Linked DNA regions of Oryctolagus cuniculus. The protein of the gene in region 1 interacts with the protein of each later gene in a biochemical or structural test. Links are inferred from orthologs where the notes say so. Each region holds a gene or a part of one and is shown in the gene's direction. Other genes may lie near its edges.

Region 1 (6,270 bases):
AAAGAAATGTTTACATATACCAGCTCTAATTTGAAGCAAAAAGTGGATTTGAGGCAGAGGAGCCTAAATTTATTGGCACAGGTCAATGTCTTTCCTGGGTTCTGGAGAGTCAGCATGATTTTAATGCTAAATTTCTGCTCCATTTTCTTCCCTTTCTTTCTTAATTGCCACACAAAAGAGCAGACCCAACCCTCAGTTGTATTCAGAACTGGTAGATTTGGTAAATGCAGGACAGAGTTCAATGCAGTGGGTCTGAATAGGTATTAGTTTCATCATGAACTATGCTTGTTGCCTCACAAAAGTTTCATTCTGTAAACCTCAATTTCCCTGTCTGTAAAAGGGGATGATCACAGTATCTATTTCACTAAGGTATTAATAGGAATAAGTTAGTACATGTAAAACTGTGAGAACACCTGGCACAGGTAGAACTCGATAAATACATGCATTACTCAAACATGCATGGTAGCTGGTAACTGTTGCTAAACAAATTCTCAGTTCTTATTACCAGTTGAAGAGCAAGCCTCATAATGCTAAAATCAACTGCCCAAATACCACAACCTACTTCTGAGTACTCCTGCAGCTCTGCTTCAGATCCTGGCATCACCCCTGTCTTGCTGATCAATCCTCACTGGTTGTAGCCAACTCACTGGGGATGTGTTTGCTTATATTGGAAAAAAAAAAGACATAGGTTAAACAAAACCTCTTTTTTAAAAGATGTTTTCTAGTTCTAACCACTCAAGAGGGAAAGAGAAAGGAAATTTCTATTCTGAACCCTGCCCACCTTTGCTGGCAAGCACCGTGCATGTTTTACCTGACTTCACCTCAACACACCCTTCTCAGATTAGTATTTTTAACCTGATTTACCAAATAAAAGAAACGGAGGCTTAGAAAGGTCAATTGGTTTAGTTAAGTTCACACTTCTACTAAGTAGCAGAGGAGGGATTCAAACCTGGTCTTTCTGTTTGGGTCGACAGAACCTTTTTTTATTTTTGAAATTGAACTGCCTGCCTCCCACATTTCCTTCATCTCAGACATCAAGAACCTTCACAGCCCAATGCTTTTCAGACTCTGCTTTAAAGACATGAGTGGGTGTGCGACTTTTGTGTGTGTCTGAAACATCTCATTTGAAAGTTAAGCAAATTGAAATTCATTTACCAGTTACAGGAATTAAGAAAAAAGATCCTCCTAATGTCTAGCGCGAAATGAGGGCGCACACGAACATCAGCAGCGCACCTGCATCCTGGGGCCCCCCTGGCCCTCACCTCTCCTCTTGGCTGCAAACTTCAAGGCAAGGAGAGCTCCGGATGGAGCCCAACCAGCCCAGGGCTCGCCCTGATTCTGCCACTACTAGCCCCGCCTCGGCGCTTGCTCTCCTTTCTCGGTAGCATTGGCTTCTCGGGCCAGGTCATCTTAAGGTTTCTGCCCAAGTACCAGTCCTACTGGTATGTCCTTACCCACCCTGCGCCGCAGGTCCCAGATTCACCTTTCCACTCCTGCAGCACCAGCCCAGCAGCCCCTCGCTTTCCGTCGCTGCTAAGCGGGAAAGTCAAGCCCTTGTAACCCTGGGGTCCCCAGCACCGCGTTTCAGCGGACAAGCCCGGCCCCCGCGCCTAAACGCTGCCCTGGGGACGTGAAGCTGCTTCGCCTTGCGCCCGCAGGTCCGGCCCAGCAGCCGCCGTCTCCCTGATTCTGCCCTGCTCGGGCTCCGCGACGGACTATGTGGCTGTGAAAGCCCAGAGTCCAAGAGTCCCAGATTAGCAGCGCGGAGCTCCCAGGCCTTCCTTCCCCTCTCCTCGGCCACCACGAGCCGCGTCCCGGCACTTCCTCACGGACGCGTCGGCCGCGCGGGTCCGCGAGCTCTCTCAGCGGCGGCCGAGCGCGGCCCGGGGGCTGCCACAGAGCCCCGAGCTAGGTCCGCGCCGGCCTCCTCCTAGCGGGCCTCGGCTCCCCTCCTTCCCGGCTCCCGCCTCCTCCCGCAGGCTGCCAGGGAGACCCAGACTCTCTCTCTCTCTCCCTCTCTCGGCCTTCACTACCGGGTCAAGCTGCCGAGGGAGGGAGCGAGCGAGCGCGACAGCGGCGAAGCGCCCCTCCTCCTGGGCCTTGCTGCCGTCTCCCCTCAGCCCTTACAGTACAACACACACAAGCACACGCACACGCGCGCGCGCGCACACACACGCGCGCTCCCGCGCGGGCCCCGCCGCCGCGGCTGCCATGGATATCCGCTAACAACACAGCCGGCGCGCGCGCCCCGCGCACCACGCAGGAGTGGCCCCCGGCTCCCGACCCTTCTGCCCCACCCCCACGCGCCGGCTCCCAGCGCCGCTCGGTTTGCTCCGGCCGCCGCCGCCGCCGCCGCCGCCACAGCTTCCTCTGCTGCGGGGCCACAGCCTTGAGTGTCATTCAAGGGACAGCACCACCTCACCCTCGCTCTCCCACCTCTGCCCCGCCGTCCCTCTCTCATCCTCCCCCCCGTTTCTCGTCCACACTCCATCCCAAGAAGAGGCAAAGCGCCGAGCGGAGCTGGGAGGAAGGCGAAGTCTGCTCTCCTCACCCCCGTGCCCCCCCCACCCTCCCGTGCCTCCATCCCTGTTCGCGCCCCTATCAGCCCCTCTCCTCAACCCTCCAAAGGAGCCCCTTAGCCCCTGGAACTGAGGCGACCCAGCCCATTGCCATGTCCAAAAGCTTGAAAAAGAAAAGCCACTGGACTAGCAAAGTCCACGAGAGTGTCATTGGCAGGAACCCGGAGGGCCAGCTGGGCTTCGAGCTGAAGGGGGGCGCCGAGAACGGACAGTTTCCCTACCTGGGCGAGGTGAAGCCCGGCAAGGTGGCCTATGAGAGCGGCAGCAAGCTGGTGTCGGAGGAGCTGCTGCTGGAGGTGAACGAGACCCCCGTGGCGGGGCTCACCATCAGGGACGTGCTGGCCGTGATCAAGCACTGCAAGGACCCCCTCCGGCTCAAGTGTGTCAAGCAAGGTGAGCGCCGCGGCCGGCTCGTGCCGCGCCGCCGGCGGGACGGCTGGGGGGCGGCGGGGCGAAGGGCAGGGTGGGCGCGCCTAGGAAGGGGGTGTGTGGCGCGCCGCTGGGGTGGGGTCCGCCGAGGTCCTCCGGGAGGCTGCGCGGAGGGGTTAGTGCGGCTTGCGAGGTGAAGTGCAACTTTGTTTGGGTACTGAGACCCCCGGCTGCAGAAGGTGCCTGGCCTGGTCTGACCTCCTGAGGCCAATTGAATGTGCGTCAGTGGCATCGCCCGCAGTGGATGAAGAGATCTGGGGATGGGAGAAAGGAAGGAGAGGAGGAGGAGGAGGAGGGAAGGAGAGGGGCAAAGAGGAAGAGGCAACTGGAGGGTGCAGCGGCATCCCCAGCGGGGCTCTGAGGAGCAGAGGGCGGTGGGGCGCGCGGGCCTGGAGACGCCGAGGTCTCCCCCTACCACTGTCCCCCGGGGGATCCCCGTGCCACTGGCTGGCGATGCAGGGAAGGGACGCATGGCTTGGGGCGCTTTGACGGATCTTCTGTAACTTTTTCCCTGCCTCACCCTCCGGGCCCCCTCCCCCGCCCCGGTGGCGTCATGTGGGCACCGCGCGCGTCACGTGCGCACTGACTAACCCCACCGCGCACCCTCGGCCGGCAGGCGGCCGCCGGGAGGAGGCTCCGGAAGCGGGCGCCGCTCGGGGAGCCCCGGGCGAGCGCGGGGCTGCTGCCTGGAGCGCGCCGTGCTGGGGGCTGCCCTGGCGGGGTGGGAGTCCCCTGCCCGCGGGATTGGAGGGGGCGTGTTTCTGAGGGGGAGCAGTGGGATGGGGATGCCGCTGGTTGCAGCTCGGGCGCCTTCAGCTCCAGGCTGACTCTGATGGGCTTCCGCGGAAGGCTGTGTCGTGTGTGGATGCTTGCAGAACTCTGTTCAGTAACTCTCTCGTGTCTCGCAAGAAAATTGTGGTCCTGAGGGAGGAAAGACTGCGATGCAAGTTTGGCTGGAGGGCAGTTTGAGCTAGAATAAAGTGGATCTCTGTTTTCCTCGCGCGGTTGCACACTTTTTCCCAGCTTCAGTGGACGTTTCCAGGGCAGCGTGTGTGTGTGTGTAGGGGAGCGCTCTCGTGTCAGTCTGGAGGGTGGCTGTCCACCTGATGTTGTTTGACCCTCAGAGGTGGAATCAAGCCTGCTATTGCCTGCGTTTTCAACGACCATTTAATCCCCTGGCATGATCAACTACAGAGAAACACTATTAAGGGGATGTTCCTAGCTAGAAAAGGGTTCTGCAAAAACACTTGTTTAAAGGTAAACAAGAGAAAAAGAAGTCCGGCAAAGTTTCTGAAGTGTTAATTGCCCCACAAGGCAATGACAGTGGGGATTCTTGAGTATTAGTAGAACGGAGGCTAAGGGAAACATTGATTTTAAGTCATCACGATGACTGCCTGACGCTGAAGAATACGCAAATAAGGGAATTATTTGGTATCATATATTCTATGAAATTCAGGGGAAAGACAACATGGAAAAATAAGGGTATGAAAGCAGTTATTAAATATTGGAAAGATACCAGGTAAGAAAGGAAATTCTGGCTATCCTGTAATAGTTCCCAGGACAAAACTAAGACGAAAACAGGGAAACATTTAAAAGATGGAGCATCTTTATCTTTGCATTCATTAAAGGATCCGTTTTCTGTTAGGACCTTCCAGAAATCTGAGCAGTACCGTAAGTTGAGGCTCCCATTATTGCGGTTGCCAAAATGACCGTTTATGGGCACATGAGCTAGATAGCATTAAAATCCTCCATGATTTGGCCTAAGATACTCTCTCAACTTCTGTATTTTATTTGGAATACTATTACTTCTATAACTCAGGAAATACATACGTAGGTAGTAATATATTTAAGTGAAAATCTTTACGTTCTGTGTTACCGCTCAGTTCCAGGTTTCACTGGTTAATTGGTGATAGGTTCTTGAAATTATGTTCACAGAGACTCCACGGGAACCTGATTCACCCCTTGAATCACTATTGACAAAAAAAAACCCACAAAAACCTGCTTTTTCATCTTTAGTGGAATATGTAATACTTTTGTAAACTTTTATAAGTGCTTTGTGTATATATATGTATCCTGTATATATGATGTATCCTGTATATATATGTATGCTGTATATATATGTATATACATATGTATATATGTATCCTGTATATATATGTATCCTGTATATATGATGATTCATATAAACCATTCCCTTGTTGAATTCATTCTTTGTCAAATAATGGTTTTATTTTATTTATTTTTAAATTTTAAAAACCATAAATATAGTTCCACAGTGTCTTGGGTTTGGGTACAGATTTCACTTGCTGGAAAATCATTTAAAAATTCTTGGCTCAGTGACTGCATTTCTGGAGAGCCAAAAAACTAGCAGTTGAAAAAAATGAAATGTGGATTGTTTAGCAGTTGTATTTTAAGATATTAATGAGATTGATTTTTTAATATTCATTGAGACATTGGCTATATACTGAAACTACATGTAAATTAGCTGAACCCTGGCAGGTTTTGTAAAGAAATGAAAGATTTTAATAACAAGCTTATTAATAAAAAGTGCAGCAGATGAAATTGCATTATTTAGCTTTTATTTACTTGAGTAATTTTCCATTAAATTTATCATAATTTTAAATTATCACACCTTTAAAAGAAGGTAAACTACTAGGATTTTCAAGATGTACTACACAAAATAGATGTATTGTGGATTTTCTACACTGTTTAAATACTTTCAAAACAATTTTAATTACTATTTAATTAAACTCAAAGTATTTTCTTTTTAATTTGAACTGTGTGCTTTTAGTTGACACAATAAGCCATAAATGGAAAGTATAATTTATTGTCGTATCAGATTATTTTTAATAAGTTCTAGCCTTTTCATTTATCATACTAAACTTTCCTCATTAAGTTATGCAGCAGTAATTTAGTGTTTCATTATTTTATTAATACATCTGACTCAACCGAAGAAAGTTTCTTCAGTCATTTTGAGATCTGTGCTAAGTTGTTAAACATTCTTCTTTTCCTTTGACACTAAAGTTCATAGCAGCCAGCCAAATGGACTATTGTGTCCTACATTCCTGCACTTTGGCTGTTAGTACATCTAATATCACATCTGGACCTGTATAGCCTGGACATAGTTTCCCATTCAATATCAAACAATAGAAAATAAAGGACAAAAGCATTTTCTAATTCCTCCCATGTGGAAGATGGGCAAAATAAGGTCTTTGAAATTCAGTTTTAGAGATGTACTGCTTCCCTCCTATTCTTTCTTTCG
Region 2 (6,282 bases), on another chromosome or scaffold:
AAAACTTAGATAAGAATCAGAAAGATGTAGAAGGCACTCTGTTGTTGATCGCCCTTGGAAACGCAATTATCCAAGGACTATGGCTCAAAGGAAGGAGAGTCCACTCCCAGCAGTGGGAAAGAAGACTGAAGAAAAACAAGACAGCAGCCGGGTCTGGAGGGCTGAATCCACTGAGACAGAGGGAGTCCTTGTGGGTGGGAGGAGCCTGGTGAGACAGAGTGCAGATGCAGAAAGCAAAGACCGCAGATCCAGAGGGGAGAAAACAAAAGGACACAGAACTGCCAATTACAGTGACACAGAGAGCCCTGCCCTGAGACTGTGCCTGCTGTGAGAGACACCTAGAACCGGCCTGAGGAGGGCTCTGCATGCAGCATTGAGGACCTGGCGTTTCTGAACAGGAGAGGATCCTGGTGAAATCAGGATTTTAGACCCATTAATTCGGCTGTCATGTGCAGGAGTAAATACAGCAAGGAGGACCAAAGGCAGGGAGACCAAACGGCCCGTGGCAAGTCCAGGTGTGGGGTGAGGGCAGAGGGATGGGACGGGAAGTGGAGTAGGAAACCCGAGGAAGCACGGCGCTACCTCTCCAGGGCGCTGATGAGCATTCATTGTGGGAACTTTCTGTTATTCTCGAAAGTAATGTCAAACATATGTGTTCCAGAGAACTGATCTTCCTCACAGTTGCCAAGCGGGGAGTGAGGGAATCAAAGATTGTTCATTCACTTGTAACATCTAATACCTGTGTAGGTGGAAGCTATGGTTTGAATATGATTAGCCCTCACCAAAACTCAGGTTCAGGTTTCATTGCCAATGTAATGGTGTTGAGAGACAGTGGACCCCCTAAGAGATGGTTAGGGTTGGGGTCATGGGGGCTCTGCCCTCCTGAAAGGATGACTGCAGTTCCCTGGAGAGCGAGCTAGCTGTGCTGAGTGGGCTGTCGCAGAGCAAGGCGCCCCCTTGTGCTCGCTCTTCTGTGAGTACTTGGACTCACCCCACGCCATACCATCAGCACAGTACGACACAGCACCAGATTCTCGCCAGATGTGGCCACCAGATCTCGAACTTCAACTCTGAGCCGTGAGCCAAACTAAACCTCTTATTTTTATAACATCCTTAATCTCAGTCTGTTTAGCAGAATAGTTGATACCTGGAAACCCTTCTTGATCTTATCTAAGTACAAAAAGCTAGCTGAAAAAAAAAACACTTTTTAAAAATAAAGCACCATGAAATGTAGAATTCAAGGGGCAAGCTAACTCTAGTTGAACACCGACTATTCCAAAACTCTTCTCAGGACCCTAATCCTAACCCCAAGTGAAAGAGAGCCCTGAGAATTCCCAGGACCCTGCTTTACTTGCATCCCTGCGAAGCAGCCCCTGTTAGAATACCCTTTGCTTTCGGTGTCTATAATTCCATGTACGTATTTGTGGTGTCTCTGAATGAGTAGGGGAGAGAGCCAGGAGAGAGGTTTCCGGCCATGCTGATGCCCAGGACGTTCGTGCAAGTAACCACACAGTGAAGTCACCTGCACCCGGCTTCTGCGCCAGCCCCTGCACCCACAGTCAGGCCTTCTCGCCGTGTTGCGCCCTGCGCCCTGGCCCTGTGCGGGCACTTGAGGTTGACACACTCTATTCCAGTAGCAGCACTTGGCAGGAGGATTGCGCCGGGTAGACAGCAGCTTTCCCCACACTCCCTGCACCCCACCCAGCACTCAGAGCCCTTTCCTGGGCAGCATCAATTTCCACTCCACCCAATCCCTTGGCTATTTTAATACCACCCCTTAGCTCCCCCTCTCACCGGGCCAAAGGGAGGACTTGCAAGGAGTGGAGTCACTAAGGGCCCGGTCTCCTTCCTCCCTCTTTCCAGCTCCTCTCTTCCTGACTCCCCCACATCAACCTCCCCAAGTTGGCAAAACTGGGCTGAGTCCAGGGCAGGGGTGAATAAACAAATTAATCACTCCCGGGTTGTAGGAATGCTTCGATGATCATGCTTAGGCCTAAAGCAAATTCATGTGTTTGCATTTCTCTAGTCTCAAGAAGCTGGTGCAAACGGTCTGACGTCTGCACACGTAACAAGCATTCCTTTTTGTTCGCCTCTCTCTGGCAAGGTAGGAGCACGGTTTTGGGCCGTGGTGGATGCTCTTTCTAGATGCTGTTCTTTTTATTCTAACGCCGTAAAGATGTGTGAGCGTTATATAACACGTTCATGATGATCGGGAGCTGTTTACTTCACAAGGATCTAATTAAAGGTTTTTTGTTTATTTTCAGGCCTGAGCTAAGTTCCTTACCAGGGCCAAATTAGAGAAAGGGCTTGCTTCCCTCTGCCCTGTGTGCTCCTGGCCCCACCATTCCCCCTCTCCTCCATATAATCCACCTACAACTAGGTTAACAACCCTCTAACCCTTAAATGAACCCATTTGCCAACTCAGAAACCACTGGTATAACTTTAAATGCTTTGGGGTTTTAATCCCCTTGAGGATTTATGGTTTTTTTCTCTCTCTCTCTCATCCCTTCAAAACTAACCCCAGAGTTGCAAGAATCTGGGAACTTGGGTAAAGGAACAAACCGCCACCCAGACCAAAAAATCCAAAATCCCAGTTCATTGCTTCAACCAAAACTGTCAGTGCCTCAGAGTCTGCAATCCACACTGCCCTGAGTATAAAAACCTGCGTGCAATAACTCACAAAATGCAGGTGTTGTGACTGAATGTGGGAAGCCTAAAGCGTCAGTGGAGGTGGTCTGTCTGCGTGCGCGTTAACATGCGTGTTTCCCTAGCCTCTCCCCTCACGGCGTGGACACACACTGTTGCATCACGCGCAGGGGCTAGGAAGTGTGTGTTTTTCCAGCTCAGCCTCCGCGTTGGCTGCTGGATGCAGCAGCCTTCGCCCCTGCTACATCTCCTGCACCCGAAGTACAACAGACGCTTCCTCGCAAGCGCCGCACCCGCGCAGAGACAGGTGCGCGGTTTGCTCCCGCAACGCGCTGTGCTGCCAAGTTTCCTCTCCCTGCTAACACCCACCTCCGATCTCGCAGGGCTGGCGCGACGCAGGTTGGCCCGGTGCCCCCTTGGCGGAGGAAGGACTCTACACACCCAAGAACCAATCTCCTCCAACCCTGGCGGACAAGACCGCTCGAGGCGCCCAGGAGCCGTGAGGATGTCAACGTTCGCCGCCCCCTAAGGGAGCCGGCGCCCAGTGCTGCGGGGAATCCGGACAACGGAGGTAGAGGGGATGCGGGGGTGGGCAGAGCGGGGCAGCGGGAGGGAGCCGAGCGCGGGAGGGGGCGGGGACGCGGCCGGGAGCCGGGCGCCCTAGGCGGCGCAGGGGAACGGGGCGCTGGAGCGGGCGGGCGCAGGAAAGGGAGCGCTCGGCGGAACCCGCGGGCGCCCGAGAGGCGCTGGCTGGACGCTCTGCCCCGACTCCCCCGAGCCGCTCAATCGCCGGTAGGAGGGGGTGCGGGGAGTCGGGGTAGCAGGGAGTGGGGAGGCAGAGAAGGGGGCGTGCCCTCGCCCCGATTGGCTGCAGGAGCCTGACGCCAGGCCCCGGGGGCCGGCTCGGGAGGTGGGAACGGGGGGTGGGTGCTGGGTGCCGGGGCCGCGGGCCCCGCGCGCTCAGAAACATGCTGAGGTCCCGGCGGCTCTGCCAGCAGCGGCAGCGGCCCCAGCAGCAGCGGCGGCGGCGGCGGCGGCGACAGCGCTCGGCGGCTGCGGGGAGGGCGCCCGGAGCCGATGCCTCGGGCTCCGCGCCGCAGCTGCCCTGACCTGGCCGCGACCTCCGACAGCGCGCCCCGCCGGCACGGCCTCTCGGAGGGCTCCCCAGCCACGGCCCAGCTCCGCCACACCCCCCGCCCCCGGCCTCCGCAGCTCGGGATGAGCGCGGGGGCGCTCGCCCTGGGCGCCTCCGAGCCCTGCAACCTGTCGTCCGCCGCGCCACTGCCCGACGGCGCGGCCACGGCGGCGCGGCTGCTGGTGCCCGCGTCGCCGCCCGCCTCGCTGTTGCCTCCCGCCAGCGAGGGCCCCGCGCTGCTGTCGCAGCAGTGGACGGCTGGCATGGGCCTGCTTATGGCGCTCGTGGTGCTGCTCATCGTGGCGGGCAACGTGCTGGTGATCGTGGCCATAGCGAAGACACCGCGGCTGCAGACGCTCACCAACCTGTTCATCATGTCCCTGGCCAGCGCCGACCTGGTCATGGGGCTGCTGGTGGTGCCCTTCGGGGCCACCATCGTGGTGTGGGGCCGCTGGGAGTATGGCTCCTTCTTCTGCGAGCTCTGGACCTCGGTGGACGTGCTCTGTGTGACGGCCAGCATCGAGACCCTGTGTGTCATTGCCCTAGACCGCTACCTCGCCATCACGTCGCCCTTCCGCTACCAGAGCCTGCTGACGCGCGCGCGGGCGCGGGCCCTCGTGTGCACCGTGTGGGCCATCTCGGCGCTCGTGTCCTTCCTGCCCATCCTCATGCACTGGTGGCGGGCCGAGGGCGACGAGGCGCGCCGCTGCTACAACGACCCCAAGTGCTGCGACTTTGTCACCAACCGGGCGTACGCCATCGCCTCGTCCGTGGTCTCCTTCTACGTGCCGCTGTGCGTCATGGCCTTCGTGTACCTGCGGGTGTTCCGAGAGGCGCAGAAGCAGGTGAAGAAGATCGACAGCTGTGAGCGCCGCTTCCTCAGCGGCCCCGCGCCCGAGCCAGGGCCCCCGCGCCCGGACCCCGGCTCCAGCCCCGGCTCCGGCTCCGCGGCCGCGCTGGCCAACGGGCGCCACAGCAAGCGGCGGCCGTCGCGCCTCGTGGCCCTGCGCGAGCAGAAAGCGCTCAAGACGCTGGGCATCATCATGGGCGTGTTCACGCTCTGCTGGCTACCGTTCTTCCTGGCCAACGTGGTGAAGGCCTTCCACCGCGACCTGGTGCCCGACCGCCTCTTCGTCTTCTTCAACTGGCTCGGCTACGCCAACTCGGCCTTCAACCCCATCATCTACTGCCGCAGCCCCGACTTCCGCAAGGCCTTCCAGCGCCTGCTCTGCTGCGCGCGCCGGGCCGCCCGCGGGTGCCATGCGAACCCCCACGCCCGGCCGCGCGCCTCGGGCTGCCTCGCGCGCGCCGGACCGCCACCGTCGCCCGGGGCAGCCTCGGACGAGGAGGACGACGACGTCGGGGCCACGCCACCCGCGCGCCTGTTGGATCCCTGGGCAGGCTGCAATGGTGGGGCGGCGGCGGCGGCGGCGGCGGCGACGGCGGACAGCGACTCGAGCCTGGACGAGCCGTGCCGCCCGGGCTTCAACTCCGAGTCCAAGGTGTAGGGCCCGGCGCGCCCCCCGCGTCCGGGACGCGCGCCCTGCGCCCGGGGAGGAGGAGCAGGAGAGCTCGCCGGGGAACCGCGGGGTGCGGGTGGAGGGGAGAGGAGATGGGTGTTTACCAACGGCGGGTGACCGCATTGTCCAGGGCAGACAGAAAGGCCGTGGGGCCTTTGCCCAGGAAGGAATGTTTGGGGAACGGGTGGGAGAGTGGCTTGCCCAGTTTTCTGCGTGCGTTTTCTGTCTGTGGTTGGGCCTCGGGTGCGTGCGTGTGATGCCTCTGGGGAATTTTTCTTTCTTTCTTTCTTTCCAGGTGGTTTTTGACACTTTCTGCGACGGGGACTGGAGTGCAGGTGGGGTGGGTCGAGGGAGGGGAAGGAAGAAGCAGCAAGAGATGAAAATACCCGCTTGGCTTCTATCCCGCTGCTGGGAACTCGCGCAGTCAACCAGAGAGGGAGGCTAGGACGGCTTGTCAGGACGGTTTCCTTTTGCTTCCCAGAGGGATTTCGTGCTCATTCCCGAGTAGTGATTTCTCCTTTCTTGAAGCGAAGGGAGAGGATGGATGCCTAACAGTCAGGTTTTCGGATGTTTTCAGCAGCGCTCGGAACACGTTTCTCCGCGCCCCGAGCCCTGGGCGCCCCCCTGGTCAGGTTGAGGGCTGTCTACCTCACACTGTGCACAACGCACAGCAAGATAGGAAGACTTGTTTATATTAAACAGCTTATTTATGTATCAATAGTCGTGGGAAGGACCAGGCGTTGTGACATGTGACTCTGTCCATTGAAGACAGGACAGAAGCAGAATTTAAAAAGAAGAAAAAGGGAGGGAGAAAAGGAAATAGTTCAGATTACTGCACATGTGGATACAAACACATAAAAAAGAAGTGGTTCAAGACGCCATTTTTGCACAGTGTTAGGAATCATAAAGTCCACAGATGATGTTACTTGCACAAAAAGAAATGAAATATTTTTTAACGGGGTGGGGGGGAGAGCTTAAAAA
Region 3 (6,108 bases), on another chromosome or scaffold:
GGGAGGTGAGAGGGCAGGGACCAAGGGATGTGGGCTGTCCTCCCCCTCCCGCCCCAGAGACCTCAGGCCCCACACCCTGAGGCTGTTTCTGCCTGTTGCCCCTTCGGCTGGCTCACAGACCTTCGTTCCCGCTTCTGAGGGCCTGAGGGTTCGGGGAATAAACTGTTCCGAGGTTTGGGGGCTCCCAGGGCTGCCCTGGCCTCTGAGCCTCCACGGAGGAAGCAGTGAGCCCTCCCTCCCCGCCCTGCAGGCCATCCCGGCCATCCCCTCAGAGGGTGTTAGCCGACTCCGCGGGCGCGAGGAAGGGGCAGGCGTGTACCGGTGGGGGTGTGGATTCCAACACGCGGGTGTCTGTGGACAGGGCTTCTATCATCGGCCTGCCCCTGTGCGGGTCGGTCCCGATGGGTGTACTAGAGGAGCGAGGCCACGTCGAAAGGGCTGTCCCGGCCCAGCTGTGGAAGGTCGCGATGTGGGAAGGAGCGCCAGAGCTGTGGCCGGGCCTGGCTGACTTCTGTCCCCGGCGTCTCTGGGGGCCAGGATGCCTCACCGCCTGGTGACTTCTGTGTAAACTGTGTCTCCCCTTCTTAGAGTCAGAGGGGTGTGTCCAGGGGTGCTCCCTGGACTGGCCAGCTTGGGGTCTGCAGCGTCCCCCCAGCCCCACCCCCGCATGGGAGCCTGACCCGACTTCTGTCCGTCCTCCCTGCCGAGAGGGAAGTGAGAAGGAGGGGGCCCGGGGACCCTGCCTTCTGGGTGAGGAAGGCTACGAAAAGCAGAAGTAAGCAGCACCAGGGCCTCTGGCCGCTGCCGGAGCCTCACCATGCAGACCCCGGCAGACTGCCCCGGGGCTCAGAGAGACTCGCTCCCCTCTCCCGGAAAGGTGAGCCAAGGTGGCTTGTCTCTAGCAGCGCCTGCCGCGCGACTGTGGGCGAGGAGTGGGTGTGCGGTGGCTGTGTCCCCTGGGGTTTCCGGGTGACTGCCTCTGTCCCCAGGGAGTGTTGTTGAGTCGGAGGCGGGCGGGTAAAGCGGAGGCGTGGATCTCAGGGTGGGGTGGCCAGGGAAGCCGCGAGGCCTTGACCCACCTCAGCCCCTCTCTGAGCCAGGGCTTCCGCTGTCCCATCAGGATGTCACGCTCAGGGGCAGCTTTTGGTGGGGCTGTTACACCCACTGTCCCCTCTGTCAGGGAGGACCTCCTAAAGAGAGGGCCAGGACCTGGGGTGGGCAGTCCCCACGGACCCCAGGGCCGAGGAGGGGGCGGGCTGGGCTGGACAGGAAGTGGCTCTGGCTGACTTACCTGCCCACCCTTTCCTGACCCCGGGTCAGGCAGTAACCAGGGGAGGGACCCGAGTTCAAGTTGGCTTTGCCGCTGGTTTGCTTTGAGCTTGAGGGAGTCACTCTCCTCTGGGCCTCAGTTTCTTGTTCCCAGAATGGAGAGCAGAGCTTTTGGGGTTTTTGGATCCGAGTCAAAGCCATCAGTCTCACTCAGGAGGACAGAGGCTCCCTCAGCCACTCCCTTGGTCCTGGGGCCCTCTCAGGCCCTATGGGAAGAACATTCTAGGGCGACAGAAGACCTCCGAGACGGACCTGCCCGAGTGCTGAGCTGTCCTCCTGAGTGCTGTGCCGGGGGCTTCAGGCTATGTCCCCTCCGTCTCTCTCCTCGCCCCCAGGTGCACCAGCAAGAAGCCACAGCTCTGCACTTAACCCTTTCCTGAGGATCCCTGCCCTGTTGCCTGCCCAAGTGTCTCTCACTGTGGGTGCCAGCCCCCCTCTGCCCTGGTGTCTGTCTGTCTGCCGGGCCCTCCCTGGCTCCCTAGCTGGCTGTCTCTCTCTGCTGCTCACTTTCTGTCCCCGCGAGGAGTGCTTGCCTGCTGCCGCTGGGTGCACGCCACATGCCGGGTGCTTGTCGGGCTCGTGTGCCCTTCTCTCTCTGGCTGTTGGGTTGGTATTCCCATCTGTCTGCCTGATGGATCCACATGGCTTCTGTTTCTACCTGTTGGGTTCCTGTCCCCATCTGCCTCTGCCTGTGGAGTTCTGATCCCATCCACCTCTGCATGTTGGGTCTTGGTCCACTTCTGCCTGTTGCTCCTGCCTCTGCCTGTCGGGTCCCCATCCCTGTCTGTCTCTGCCTGCTGCGGGTGTGTTCCCTCTTGTCTCTGCCTGTTGGGTACGTGTCCTTCTATGTCTCTGCCTGTTGGACGCCCATCTTTATCTGTCTCCACCTCTTGGGTGCCTGCCTCTGCCTGGCGTATGTCTCTTTTTATCTGCTGCTGCATGGCAGGCCCATGCCTCTGGTGGGCACCTATCTGCTCAGCAGACGGGTTGGCTCTGGGCTTTGCCTTTGCAGGCCCACAGGGGAGTATGGGGGCAGGGCCAGAGGGCAGCCCTCAGGCACCGGAGAGGCGGGAAGAGAGAAGAAGGGAAGGTGGTTGAGGGTGTAGGCCTGTAGCTGGGAAACCACAGGCCCCGAGTGATTGGCTGCCCTGGGCTGGGCCCAGCCCCCACGCCCTTACCCTGCACATCCGCCTGGGCCTGGCCACCTCTGTGGCAGCCCCAGACACTGCCTACTCCTGCCATGGTGCCGTGGCCCTGCTGGGCGGATGGAGCAGGATCCCAAGCCGCCCCGTCTGCGGCTCTGGGCCCTGCTCCCCTGGCTGCCCAGGAAGCAGCGGCCGAGGGTCGGCCAGACCTCGCTACCTGCTCCTGGCCCTGGCTCTGGCCCCCAGCAGGACTCGGTGAGTGTGCCCAGCATCTGGTCCCGGCCCAGCTGTCGTCCTTGAAAAAGGCAGCCAGGCTGGCCTAAGGTGGCTTCGGGATTTCCTGGCCCAGACCTGGCCCTGCCGGGTCACCAGACACTCTCCAGGCCTGCTTCCGGGGGAAGTAGAGAGGCCCCTTCTGGGCTCCAGGGTAATACCGGCACATTAGAGGGAGGGGAGAAGGGCCTAGAACAGCTATGCCGTGGCAAGGGGCTGCTGATAGCTTGGTGTGGTGGGGATTTGTGCAGGTGGGGTGCGGAGCTGCTGGCCTTAACTCCCTCATGCTGTAGACTGGGTTGATGGGGATGTCCCAGTAGCAGTCCCCTCATCCCATCCTGACTGGGAGCAAAGGCCCGTCTCTACCTCCTGGTTAGCAGAACAAAGCTTATTTCCTATTGTGGCCAAACCAAAACAGCAGGGGGAGGCTAGCCCCGGCAGGCAGGCCTGGGGCAGGTCTCTGGGCCTCAGCCAGAGCCTGGGGTTGGTTCAGCCTGGCCAGCCGCGTCATTTTGGGCTGACCAGGTCAGAGCAGCAGGAGCCTTAGGAGCAGTGCCTCACCGGGCCGGTACTTGCCCTGCCTTTGAGATGCTTTGGTATTGATGAGCCTGAAGGCTGGCACCGTCGGAGAGCTGTGTGTTCGGCCTGCCGAGGTCTGGGGGGAGTGGACGTGGATGGGGCCACCATGCCCACCGGCTCTGTGTCTCCTCCAGGATGAGGGCGTCCTCAAGGAGATCTCCATCACGCACCACGTCAAGGCTGGCTCCGAGAAGGCCGACCCGTCCCACTTCGAGCTCCTCAAGGTTTTGGGACAGGGATCCTTTGGCAAAGTGAGTTGTGAGCCCACAGCCGGGAGGGCAGCCTTGGTCATGTCAGAGGTGGGGCCCGAGCCACCCTGCGACCCCGAGGATGGAGGATAAGGGTGGGAGGTTACCTTGGTAGCCAGGGAGAGCAAAAGGTCATCCTGGAGCTCTGGGAAGCTCGGATCAACCTGGGGCCTGGAGGATGGGGACCCACAGGCCAAGGGCCCTCCCCAGCTTCTCCCCCTGTTCCTTCTCAGGTCTTCCTGGTGCGCAAGGTCACCCGGCCTGACAGTGGGCACCTGTATGCCATGAAGGTGCTGAAGAAGGCGACATTGAAAGGTGAGTGAGGGGCGGCCCTGGGCAGAACCCAGGCTGGGTCTCACGGTGGGTGGGGGAGCACCATCTTCAGGTGCACCTGCTGGGGAGGTGGAGAAACAGGTCCACTACCGGCTGCCTCTCCCCCGCCCCACCCCAGACAAGTGCCAGTGACTGTGGCTGACGGTAAGCGTCTGGAAGGAGGCAGTGAGCCGAGTACAGGGTGTTTGGGGGTGGGGAGGTCCTCAAGCATCACGCTGGATAGACAGAGGTGCACTGTCAGCCGAGTTGCTTCACTATGCTGCTGGAGTCTGAGGGAGCCCTGTCCGGCCTCCTAGCTCAGGGTGGGGAAGGGCGCGAGGGAGCCCAGCGGAGTGGCTGGGTAGATAAGAGAGGGCGATGGAGGCGAGGCCCAGAGGTGGGTGGCAGAGGCTCAGGAGGGAGCCCTGAGCCCTCTGGGGTCCCGGGGACTTGTGACAGTGGTCAGTAGTGGAACTTTGGATCGAACATTGGCTGTGTAGCCACTGACCAGGTGGGGTCAGAGCCAAGCAGTGGTTGGGGGTGCTGTGGGACGCACAGGCAGTATCACCCTTCAGAATGTTCTGGGCCTTTAAGGGCTCTCTGTGGGGCTGATGATGGTGGCTGTGGTGCCCCAAGGCCAGCCAGCTCGTGTGGGAGTCGTCTCCCAGGAGGGATGCTGAGCAGGGCTTTCGGGCTGAGTGGGAGGGGCCGGACACAGGTGCAGCTGCTACTGTGACGGGTGGGCATGGATGTCCAGGAGCTCGGGGTCAGGGTGCAGCAGGGGCCTTGTACACGTCTGTCTGCTAACCGGATAAAAATGAGACAGTTTGCAGAAGTGCTGATTCCCCGTCCCCAGATCTCCTAGAGGGCAGGTCCAGAGGTCAGGGGGACACCTAAGCCGTAGCCGTGCAAGCTGTGCCGTGAGGGATGAATTAGGAATGTTCCAGCCGAAAAGTGATGGAGGAAGGAGGAACTGGAGAGGGGTTTGGGACAAGGTGCGTTCAGGAAATGGTGACCAGAGTTAACGGCAGTGTGGTCCCTGCTGTACCCAGTGAGGGAAGTACAGAAATTAAAATCGACGGGGCCAGGATTTAGGATGCTGCCTGGGACACTTGGGACCCCCTCGGAATGCCCGAGTTCCAGTCCCGCTCTGCTTCTGATCCTGACTTCCTGCTGATGCACACCTGGGAGGCAGCAGGGGATGGCTCCGGTACTAGGGTCCCTGGCACCCATGAGTGAGACCTGGATAGAGTTCTTGGCTCAAGGTTTTGGCCAGTTCCAACCTTGGCTGTTGTGGTCATTTGGAGAGTGAACAAGCGGATGGATGATCAGTCTCTGTCTTTGTCTTTCTGCCTTTCAAATAGTTAAAGCATACATTTAAAAATTTTACGTTAAACTAGAAGATAAAACGTGTTCTGAGGGAGTGGGCGTGAGGCCTGGTGGATAGGAGGCCACACCCCCTGTAGCAGTTCTTGGTTCATTACTCAGCTCCTGCTAAGGCAGACCCCGCGAGGCAGCAGGTCATGGCTCAAATAGTGGGGTCCCTGCCACTCACATGGTAGATCTTAAGTGAGTTCTTCATCCCCTGGCCATTGTGGACACTGGGGAGTGAACCAGCAGATGAGAGTGCAGTCCCTCTCTCTCTCTGTCTCTCACTCTCTCACTCTCTCATGCTCTCTCTTTCTCTCTCTTAACTAATGCAAATGAACAAAAGCCAGTGCTTTGAAGAGGAAGTCCAGCACTCTTAGTCTGAAGTTAGCCTGAAGTGACATTAGTCCTGGTCAGAAGTAGCTGGAAGGCCCTCGTCCAGCTTGGGAGGCTAAGGGGGAGGTGAGACCTGACTGAGGGCAGGAAGACCAGCTGATGTCTGAATCAAGATATTTTTGGTAAAGGTTTATTTATTTGAAAGTTACAGAGAGAGGTAAAGACACACACACACACACACACACACACACACACAGGTCTTCCGTCCACTAGTTCACTCCCCAAATGCCTGCAATGGCCAGAGCTGAGCCAATCTGAAGCCAGGAGCTAGGAGCTTCATCCAGGTCTCCCACATGGGTGCAAGGGCCCAAGGGTTTGGGCCATCTTCTGCTGCTTTCCCAGGCCATAGCAGAGAGCTGGATTGGAAGTGAAGCAGCCGGGACTTGAACCGGCTCCCATATGAGATGCCAGTGCTGCAGGCTGGGGCTTTAACCTGCTGCACCACAGTGCCGGCCCCA

Evidence for each region.
Region 2: the proteins of MAGI2 (region 1) and ADRB1 interact in a test that uses a peptide from one of them, tested with the Homo sapiens proteins (4 studies listed by IntAct, with this or other methods). The link is inferred for Oryctolagus cuniculus from reciprocal best matches to the Homo sapiens genes MAGI2 and ADRB1.
Region 3: the proteins of MAGI2 (region 1) and RPS6KA1 interact in a test that uses a peptide from one of them, tested with the Homo sapiens proteins (2 studies listed by BioGRID and IntAct, with this or other methods). The link is inferred for Oryctolagus cuniculus from reciprocal best matches to the Homo sapiens genes MAGI2 and RPS6KA1.

What each region holds. Positions count from the first base shown.
Region 1 is NC_091434.1:144,050,361-144,056,630, reverse strand, and holds the start of MAGI2 (membrane-associated guanylate kinase, WW and PDZ domain-containing protein 2), read left to right. Parts: upstream 1-2,196; 5' UTR 2,197-2,671; coding exon 2,672-2,972; intron 2,973-4,988; exon of another isoform or gene 4,989-6,270. UniProt on the Homo sapiens protein: Seems to act as a scaffold molecule at synaptic junctions by assembling neurotransmitter receptors and cell adhesion proteins. Plays a role in nerve growth factor (NGF)-induced recruitment of RAPGEF2 to late endosomes and neurite outgrowth.
Region 2 is NC_091446.1:16,245,810-16,252,091, reverse strand, and holds the start of ADRB1 (beta-1 adrenergic receptor), read left to right. Parts: upstream 1-2,690; 5' UTR 2,691-2,953; intron 2,954-3,029; 5' UTR 3,030-3,217; intron 3,218-3,641; 5' UTR 3,642-3,723; coding exon 3,724-5,289; 3' UTR 5,290-6,282. UniProt on the Homo sapiens protein: Beta-adrenergic receptors mediate the catecholamine-induced activation of adenylate cyclase through the action of G proteins. This receptor binds epinephrine and norepinephrine with approximately equal affinity.
Region 3 is NC_091438.1:144,953,176-144,959,283, reverse strand, and holds the start of RPS6KA1 (ribosomal protein S6 kinase alpha-1), read left to right. Parts: upstream 1-2,541; 5' UTR 2,542-2,594; coding exon 2,595-2,729; intron 2,730-3,460; coding exon 3,461-3,577; intron 3,578-3,807; coding exon 3,808-3,889; intron 3,890-6,108. UniProt on the Homo sapiens protein: Serine/threonine-protein kinase that acts downstream of ERK (MAPK1/ERK2 and MAPK3/ERK1) signaling and mediates mitogenic and stress-induced activation of the transcription factors CREB1, ETV1/ER81 and NR4A1/NUR77, regulates translation through RPS6 and EIF4B phosphorylation, and mediates cellular proliferation, survival, and differentiation by modulating mTOR signaling and repressing pro-apoptotic function of BAD and DAPK1.